2 linked regions of the Bombyx mori genome follow. The protein of the gene in region 1 purifies or fractionates together with the protein of each later gene. This does not show direct contact. Links are inferred from orthologs where the notes say so. Each region holds a gene or a part of one and is shown on either strand. Other genes may lie near its edges.

What was found.
Region 2: the proteins of exosome complex component RRP41 (region 1) and protein HBS1 purify together in Homo sapiens (affinity purification with mass spectrometry; 3 studies listed by BioGRID and IntAct, with this or other methods). This does not show direct contact. The link is inferred for Bombyx mori from reciprocal best matches to the Homo sapiens genes EXOSC4 and HBS1L.

Annotation. Positions count from the first base shown.
Region 1 is NC_085134.1:3,235,911-3,239,842, reverse strand, and holds the start of exosome complex component RRP41, read left to right. Parts: upstream 1-1,440; 5' UTR 1,441-1,860; coding exon 1,861-2,031; intron 2,032-2,386; coding exon 2,387-2,459; intron 2,460-3,885; coding exon 3,886-3,932. UniProt on the Homo sapiens protein: Non-catalytic component of the RNA exosome complex which has 3'->5' exoribonuclease activity and participates in a multitude of cellular RNA processing and degradation events.
Region 2 is NC_085121.1:12,890,513-12,894,432, forward strand, and holds protein HBS1, read left to right. Parts: upstream 1-1,118; 5' UTR 1,119-1,432; coding exon 1,433-3,448; 3' UTR 3,449-3,645; downstream 3,646-3,920. UniProt on the Homo sapiens protein: GTPase component of the Pelota-HBS1L complex, a complex that recognizes stalled ribosomes and triggers the No-Go Decay (NGD) pathway.

The sequences.
Region 1 (3,932 bases):
TCAGGCGCAACAGGAATTTGCTGATATGCCTTAACGAGGTCGATGGTACTAAATATACAACACCCAGATATGTTATGGCCAACGTCACCGATATGGCGAACTGGGTACCTGTCAGGTATGGTACGTGAATTCAACGCACGATAATCGCCGCAGGGTCGCCAGGTGCCGTCGCGCTTAGGGACCATATGAAGTGGAGAAGACCACGAACTTTTCGAAGGTCTGGCTGTCCCGCACTGTACCATATCATCAAAAACCTTTTTGGCCTCTTGAAGTTTTTGAGGTGCCAGACGTCTAGGACGACAAGAGACTGGGGCGCCCTCAGTGGTTAGAATATAATGAACTGTGTTATGCTTCGGCTCACGAATAAGTCCTGGTGGCTTCGTAATGGACGGAAATTCCGCAAGAAGTGCACTAAATTGGGATGACGGCGCGCAGACAACTTTGACGCTGGTCTGGTCTAAAACAGCGACGGCAGCAACGTATGACAACCCGGTAATGCTATCGACGAGTCTCTTACTGGCACAATCTGGCAACAACCGATAATGCGCCAGAAAATCGGAGCCGATGATGGCGGTGTTGACGTCAGCGATAATAAATCGCCATTGAAATGTGCGGCGTAACCCCAAATTAAGCGCCATTTCTATGTGACCAAAAGTGCGTATCTCACTACCATTGGCAGCCGCTAACGTATAGTTTGAACGTACCGGCTTATTTGCTAACCACTGGTATGGGTAACAGGAGAGGTCGGAGCCTGTGTCTATTAAAAAACGGCGCTTGGTTGCGCTTTCGGTGACAAATAATCGGCGACTCTCCTTTAAGCAGTCAGACGTCGCCATCATTGACTGCTTTTGTCGTTTTCCGAAGATGGCGGCGGCGTCCAGGTACATGGTTGAATACACTTAACAGCTTTAGTATTAAATTTCCTATGGTAAAAGCACATTTGAAGCTTACCAGGCGTTTGTGAGCGTCGTCGCTGGTTTGAGAAATCCCGGGTCCTATTTCTACCGCGCTCTGCAGTAAGCACAGCAAGCTGACGCGTGACCTCATCCAGACGCCGTGTGATATCTTCTAACGAAGGGGTTGAGACGGCAGACGTACTTGCTGAGAAAACAGCAGATGAATGAGGTGCGACCATACCAGGCGAAACTTCCAAAATTTTGTCCGCTAGCTCAGCGACTTTGTCCAGCGAGAGTTCTGATTGGGCGGCCAAAATTGCTTGGAGATGTTGTGGGAGGCGACGCATCCATAGCTGGCGAAGCAAATTTTCATCAGTGAGGGTTTTTCCTGCCAATGATCTAAGATAACGTAAAAACTGCGAAGGACGGCGGTCACCCAACTCAACATCACTGACAAGTTGCCTGACACGTTGCTCATTAAATTGGAAAAATCTTAGTAAATAACCACCATTTTACTGAGATTATATTTCATCCCATATCATCTCATTTCATTTAATTTCATCTCAGTTGATTAATGTCTCAAATTAATCATCTTCGTTTCATTTCATTTCATCTCACTCCATATTATCATTTTGCATAAAAATAATAATATAAATTAAAATAAGAAATGACTTAAAGGTCTTAGTTACCAGGTCACACTACCCTGAAAAAAAACACGATAACATAACCTACAAAATAAAGTTTAAAAAATAATTGAACGAAAATAATATATTTATTAGTCTTTATTCTTTAATAACCATAACGTCCATAACCAATCTCATGAATTATTAGAATCACCGCGAATTTTAAAAACGGAATCGACTATGATAATATAACATAGTAAAAAGCAAATATTTTTAACAAAACAATTCAACATATTGAACAATTCATTATTTTTTAATGTGTTTTTGTTAGAAGTTAAATAATGCCCGCTGCCGATCTACTCTCGAGTCAAGGACTACGTCTTGACGGGCGGAGACCCAATGAATTACGTCGGATAAGATGTAAACTTGGTGTATTCACCCAGCCTGATGGAAGTGCGTATCTCGAACAAGGAAACACGAAAGTGCTTGCAGCCGTGTATGGACCCCATCAGGTATATGATACAAACGATTTACAAATACTGATTAGTTTACCGTGGCAAAACGTCTGTAAATCTGCCTGAGTAAATAATCATCACTATCCCGCTACTTCTGCTACAAAATTGCACTATTTCTGCTACAAAAGTGTAATGCCTTCTGGCTTGAAGAATAAGACAGCTATTTTACAATATTGAAGTATCGACCCATGTGCCAAGGTCGCATTCACGTCTTGATGTGTTTCAGCTTTAGTAACCAAATTCTTACCAAGTAGCTGGTAAAAAATATGTATTTACACATTTTAGGTACTTCATTTTCGGACACGTTCTTCATAAATGAAAAACCTTCATTATAATTTAAAATGTTTTTCAGGCTTCAAAATCGAAGATGTCGACAGAAGCTGTAGTTGTCAACTGCCAATACAGTATGGCTACATTCTCAACAGGTACCCATTGAGAGTTCAACATATTTTCAAAAGCCTCTTCAAATAAATGAGATTATATATAGAGAAAAAAATCTGTATGAGCTTAATCGCACATTAAAAATACACAAGTTAATAACATCCGTGGATTTCCAATCAATCTTAGAATTAATTTCAGTGTGTACATTTATTTGTTCCTGCACATCATCAGACCTACTGAACCAGATACGTTTACTACGTACGTGTAGTTTTTTTTATGGTGGACAAAAATTTGTTTGTAACAGAATAAAGGTTTTGTTTTATTTTAATCAAAAGATGCAAAAAGTTTTCATCATTTAAAGTTTTATGGAATTTACTTAGTGCCATTATATGTTAGAAAATATACAGCAAATAATAACATGAAAATGAAAGAAACTCTACTATGGGAAATTAAATAGGATGCATTTTATCCTAGTGTTAAGCACAGTCAGCGGCAGGCAATAGCTCTGCCCCTGACATTGCTGAAGTCAATGGGCGACATTACTGTGTGGTTACCCACTCACCATCAAGTAGGCCGTATGCTCGTCTGCCTACAAGAGAATAAAAAAAATTCTCCACTCACATAATATAATATGTAATTTAGGTAAGCATATAGCTGGCAGATAGGCAGTTATATTATAAATGTTATACATTTGAAAACAATACAATTATGTATGTGATAAGCCTGCAGAAGTAGGTACTGTTATATGTTTACAATGAAGCAATCATGCTTTGCAGTTTCATAATACATTTGAGATTTTGACTGTCTCTCAAAATCGGTGGCATTATACACACTGCGATGTCTATGTATTCTACCCATTTAAAAGTTAAAACTAGGATATTCCCTCGTCAGTACAAAAAGAAACTAAGATAGACCCAAAGATATGAATATTCTTATCTACACAACTTATAAGGGTTATTATATATATATGCCTATTAGGCTACATAACTTATTATTTTTTTTTTTTTTATTGCTTAGATGTGTGGACGAGCTCACAGCCCACCTGATGTTAAGTGGTTACTGGAGCCCATAGACATCTACAACGTAAATGCGCCACACACCTTGAGATACAGTTTTAAGGTCTCAGTATAGTCACAACGGCTGCACCACCCTTCAAACCGAAACGCATTACTGCTTCACGGCAGAAATAGGCGGGGCGGTGGTACCTACCCGTGCGGACTCACAAGAGGTCCTACCACCAGTAATTACGCAAATTATAATTTTGCGGGTTTTTTTTATTACACGATGTTATTCCTTCACCGTGGAAGTCAATCGTGAACATTTGTTGATTACGTATTTCATTAGAAAAATTGGTACCCGCCTGCGGGATTCGAACACCGGTGCATCGCTTCAACACGAATGCACCGGACGTCTTATCCGTTAGGCCACGACGACTTCTAAACGACTTATTATCGAACATTTCGCATCTAGGTGAACGAAAGAACCGACCTCGCGGGGACCGCAAGTCACAAGAAATG
Region 2 (3,920 bases), on another chromosome or scaffold:
ATAGTATTTTTACTTGATATATGTACAATTAATGATTGAAAAACCGACGTTTAGTTTTGAAACAACGAGCTGAGTTAACGTATCACGTGCTTTTAATGTTTAATTTGCAAGAGATGGGTGATGCTAATCTTTACTGAAACAATAGAGAAACGCAACTCTGTTAAGCACTGTTAAGCAGTATTTAGCATTTGAAGCATTTTAAATATTTTCACATTCATAATGGAAAAAAAATTGAGAGAAAGGATTACTGGTGTCCTGGTGGCATTTCCAGTTTCACAAGCGAGCACCGGCTCAGCCAGGAGCGACGGTAATTGCTAACAGCCTCCTGAGGGCCTCCGGAGAAAACTAACAACTCAAAGGCAACTGCTTCACGAATGAACCTCATTTACATTAATTTATATTTACTTGGCAATTCATAGATAAAATTATGGAGACCAGAGGATCTGTCGAGATATTATTTTATGACCGCGTCCGGAGAATTGGGATTTCGAGCTTCCTCAAATTGGTGATATTGACATGACTTCAATGCGTTCTTTTTTTTCCTACCTATGCTGGTACCTTAGAACGTTATTCTTGCGTAACTTGACGAGTAAGTGAGCTCGCGGGGCTCTAACCTGTGACGTTGCTAACACGAGCCCTAGCAAGAGCCGTGCTTCGCAGAATCTACCACCAGATCGGAAACGCGACCCACTGTGAAGATTCGGCAAGAAACTCAGTGGGCTGTGTCTGAGGGTTAATTTACTCGTCGAGCCCTTCGTCGCAAGCGACGGGTTCGACGAGAACGGTGACCGGTGCTTGAAGTACCTAAAAGCACCGTTAGTGGATCGGGAGGATCCGAGATGACGTGTTTTGGGCGATGTCGACTGCTTTCCATTCTTTCCGCAGGATCGGGAATGTAGTTACCGGCGGCCACGATGAGAGGGTTCTCGTGTCGTGCCGCTTTATCGAAGTGGTGCATCGACGCCGACTGCAGATACTTACTGATGGACTCTAAGTCCAGGTCGTCATGGAGGTCGACGTTCCTGCCGAACCACGGGGCTCCGACGGCTATCCTGCAAAAACGGGATTGAATGATTTGGAATGATTTTAAGTGAGTGCGGGCCGCGTGAGCGAACACTACACTTGCATAGGTCATGACGGGGCGTATGCAAGTTTTGTAGAGTGTCACCTTATTTCTAAGGAACATTTTACTTCGCCTGCATATCATCGGGTAGAATAATCACACAAAAGATTCCACTGGATTCGGTGTGATATTTTCGCCTTTTCTGTATCGAAAAAGTAAAACGACTAATGTCAAAAAAGCTGCTGTCATTGCTGTCACTAACCCAAAACGAAACGTGTTATTTATTTTGCGAGTTTTTCCGAAAAACATCCATTTATTGCAAATATGGTTTCTGTAACATAGGAACACTTTTGATATTATTAATGAACAATGGCTCGACATCGTAACATTCGGAACAGAAGTTACTCTGATGACTATGATGACGATGATTTTTATGGACATTCAGTGGAAGAGGATAGTTGTTTATCTCCAAGTGATGCGTCGCAATGGATCTACGACCGATCACGAAACCAACAGGTGATATCTAACCTTCTCGATAGACACAGCAATATCCAGGAGGAAGCCGAAGATGAAGTTCAAGATGTTCAAGTACCGGGCCCACAACGAAGAGAGTCTACCGACCTCTGCAGCCTCAAGCTTGACGCGGAAGGTGAAACCAGGCTCATGTCTTGCTTAGATGAACTTCGGAATATTTTAGGTGATACAGTATCGGAAAATACAATGATTCAGAGTGTGCTTAAACATAATTTTGATTACAACAAAGCTTTAGACGATATACTTAATAGTGATAAGAGTAAAAATAAAGATTCATCCACATCTAAACCAGTTAAGCCTGTTATTACTAATACAGTGAAAACCACAACAGCATTAGTAGCTCCTAAAGTTATAGCTACAAGTGTAGATCAGAAGAGTGCTGTAATCAAGGGTTTTAAAGTGGACCAAGAGCCAAAGCCTAATAGTCGCCCTCAGACACCTAGAGGGCAGTCTCCTCACCCAGAAAAAAGCAAGACTGAACAAAATGATGACATGAAAAATTTAAAAGTAAAAGAGAACAAAATTGATGCAAAAAAACAATATGCCAATGAGAGAGGTTCTGACAAAGATCATTTGTACATTGTCGTGATAGGTCATGTTGATGCAGGAAAATCTACATTAATGGGCAGATTATTATGTGAGCTCGGAGAAGTCAGTCAAAAAACTTTGCACAAATATGAACAGGAGAGTAAAAAGATTGGAAAGCAAAGCTTTATGTATGCCTGGGTGCTTGATGAAACAGGAGAGGAAAGAGTCCGAGGAATCACTATGGATATTGGGCGTGCCCAGATTGAAACAAAGACAAAGAGGGTTATAATATTAGATGCACCGGGGCATGCTGATTTTATCCCTAATATGATAACTGGTGCTGGTCAAGCTGATGTTGCTATGTTGGTAGTTGATGCAACTAGGGGAGAGTTTGAATCCGGATTTGATTTCGGTGGTCAAACAAGAGAACATGCATTACTAGTGAGGTCACTTGGTGTAAGTCAGCTGGCTGTTGCCATTAACAAACTGGATACAGCCAACTGGTCTCAAGACAGATTTAATGAAATCACCAATAAACTTAAGGTTTTTTTGAAACAAGCAGGATTCAAAGATACAGATGTCACCTATGTGCCTTGTTCAGGACTCATTGGTGAGAATCTTGTGAAACCAGCAAGCGAACCTGAATTAACTAAATGGTACAAAGGACCCTGTCTTTTAGATGTGATTGACAAATTCAATGTTCCAGAGAGGCCTGTGTCTAAGCCATTACGTATTTCAATCAATGATGTGTTCAAAGGTACCGGTTCTGGATTTTGTGTTTCGGGACGCATTGAAAACGGAGTTCTAAAGAAGGGCGATAAAGTATTGGTTTGTCCAACAAAAGAAATGGCTGAAGTTAGAAGTTTAAGTATAAATGATCTTACTAATAATGTAGCATTTGCTGGAGACCAAGTCACATTGACTTTGTCTGGGGTGGACATGCAGAATGTGTCAGTTGGATACATACTCAGCGATCCTATTGAGCAGGTTTCTGTTACAACACGTTTCGAGGCCCGAATAGTAGTTTTCAATGTTAAAGTACCAATAACAAAAGGCTTTCCGGTGCTTGTTCACTATCAATCATTGGTAGAATCTGCTAATATTGTCAAGCTTAAGGCATTACTCAGCAAAAGTACCGGTGAGCTAATTAAAAAGAAACCTCGTTGCTTAGGAAATAATTCTGTGGCAGTTGTTGAAATTGAGACCAGCAGGCCCATATGCATCGAGAGATATAAAGATGTTAAGGAGCTTGGTCGTGTTATGTTACGCGTCGCAGGTGTCACCATAGCAGCAGGCCTTGTCACTGATATTATCAGCACATGATTGATCTGATAAAGATTATTATAATCTAAATATACAACTAAAAGATTTGTTACTAATTGAAGATGTGATAAATTAAAAATATGGTTATGTTTGGACATTTTAGCTTTGCACGCGTGAATAGTCTACAATAATGTACTGTTTTGAAGTATAATTTATTATTTATAATGTAATGCTAATAAATTGTTTCATGTTACAAATGTTTTTTATTTCTGAATTTGAAAACTATGAGAATATGCTAAACAGAAGATTCTATCGACGTCCTTAAATTGCAGTTTATCTGATTCTCAAATCATTCAGGACACCAGCCAGTATTCTCAATTTTGTGCTACTTTTATTATTAAAATTGACCTAAGCATCCTACAAGTCGTATACGAAATGGACATTCTCATTCTCGCTCACGACTCGGTCGTGCGCGGACGTGCTTTCCGATCCGTGGCCCGCTTGCGAGCTGCGTCTCTGAACTCACAGTTGT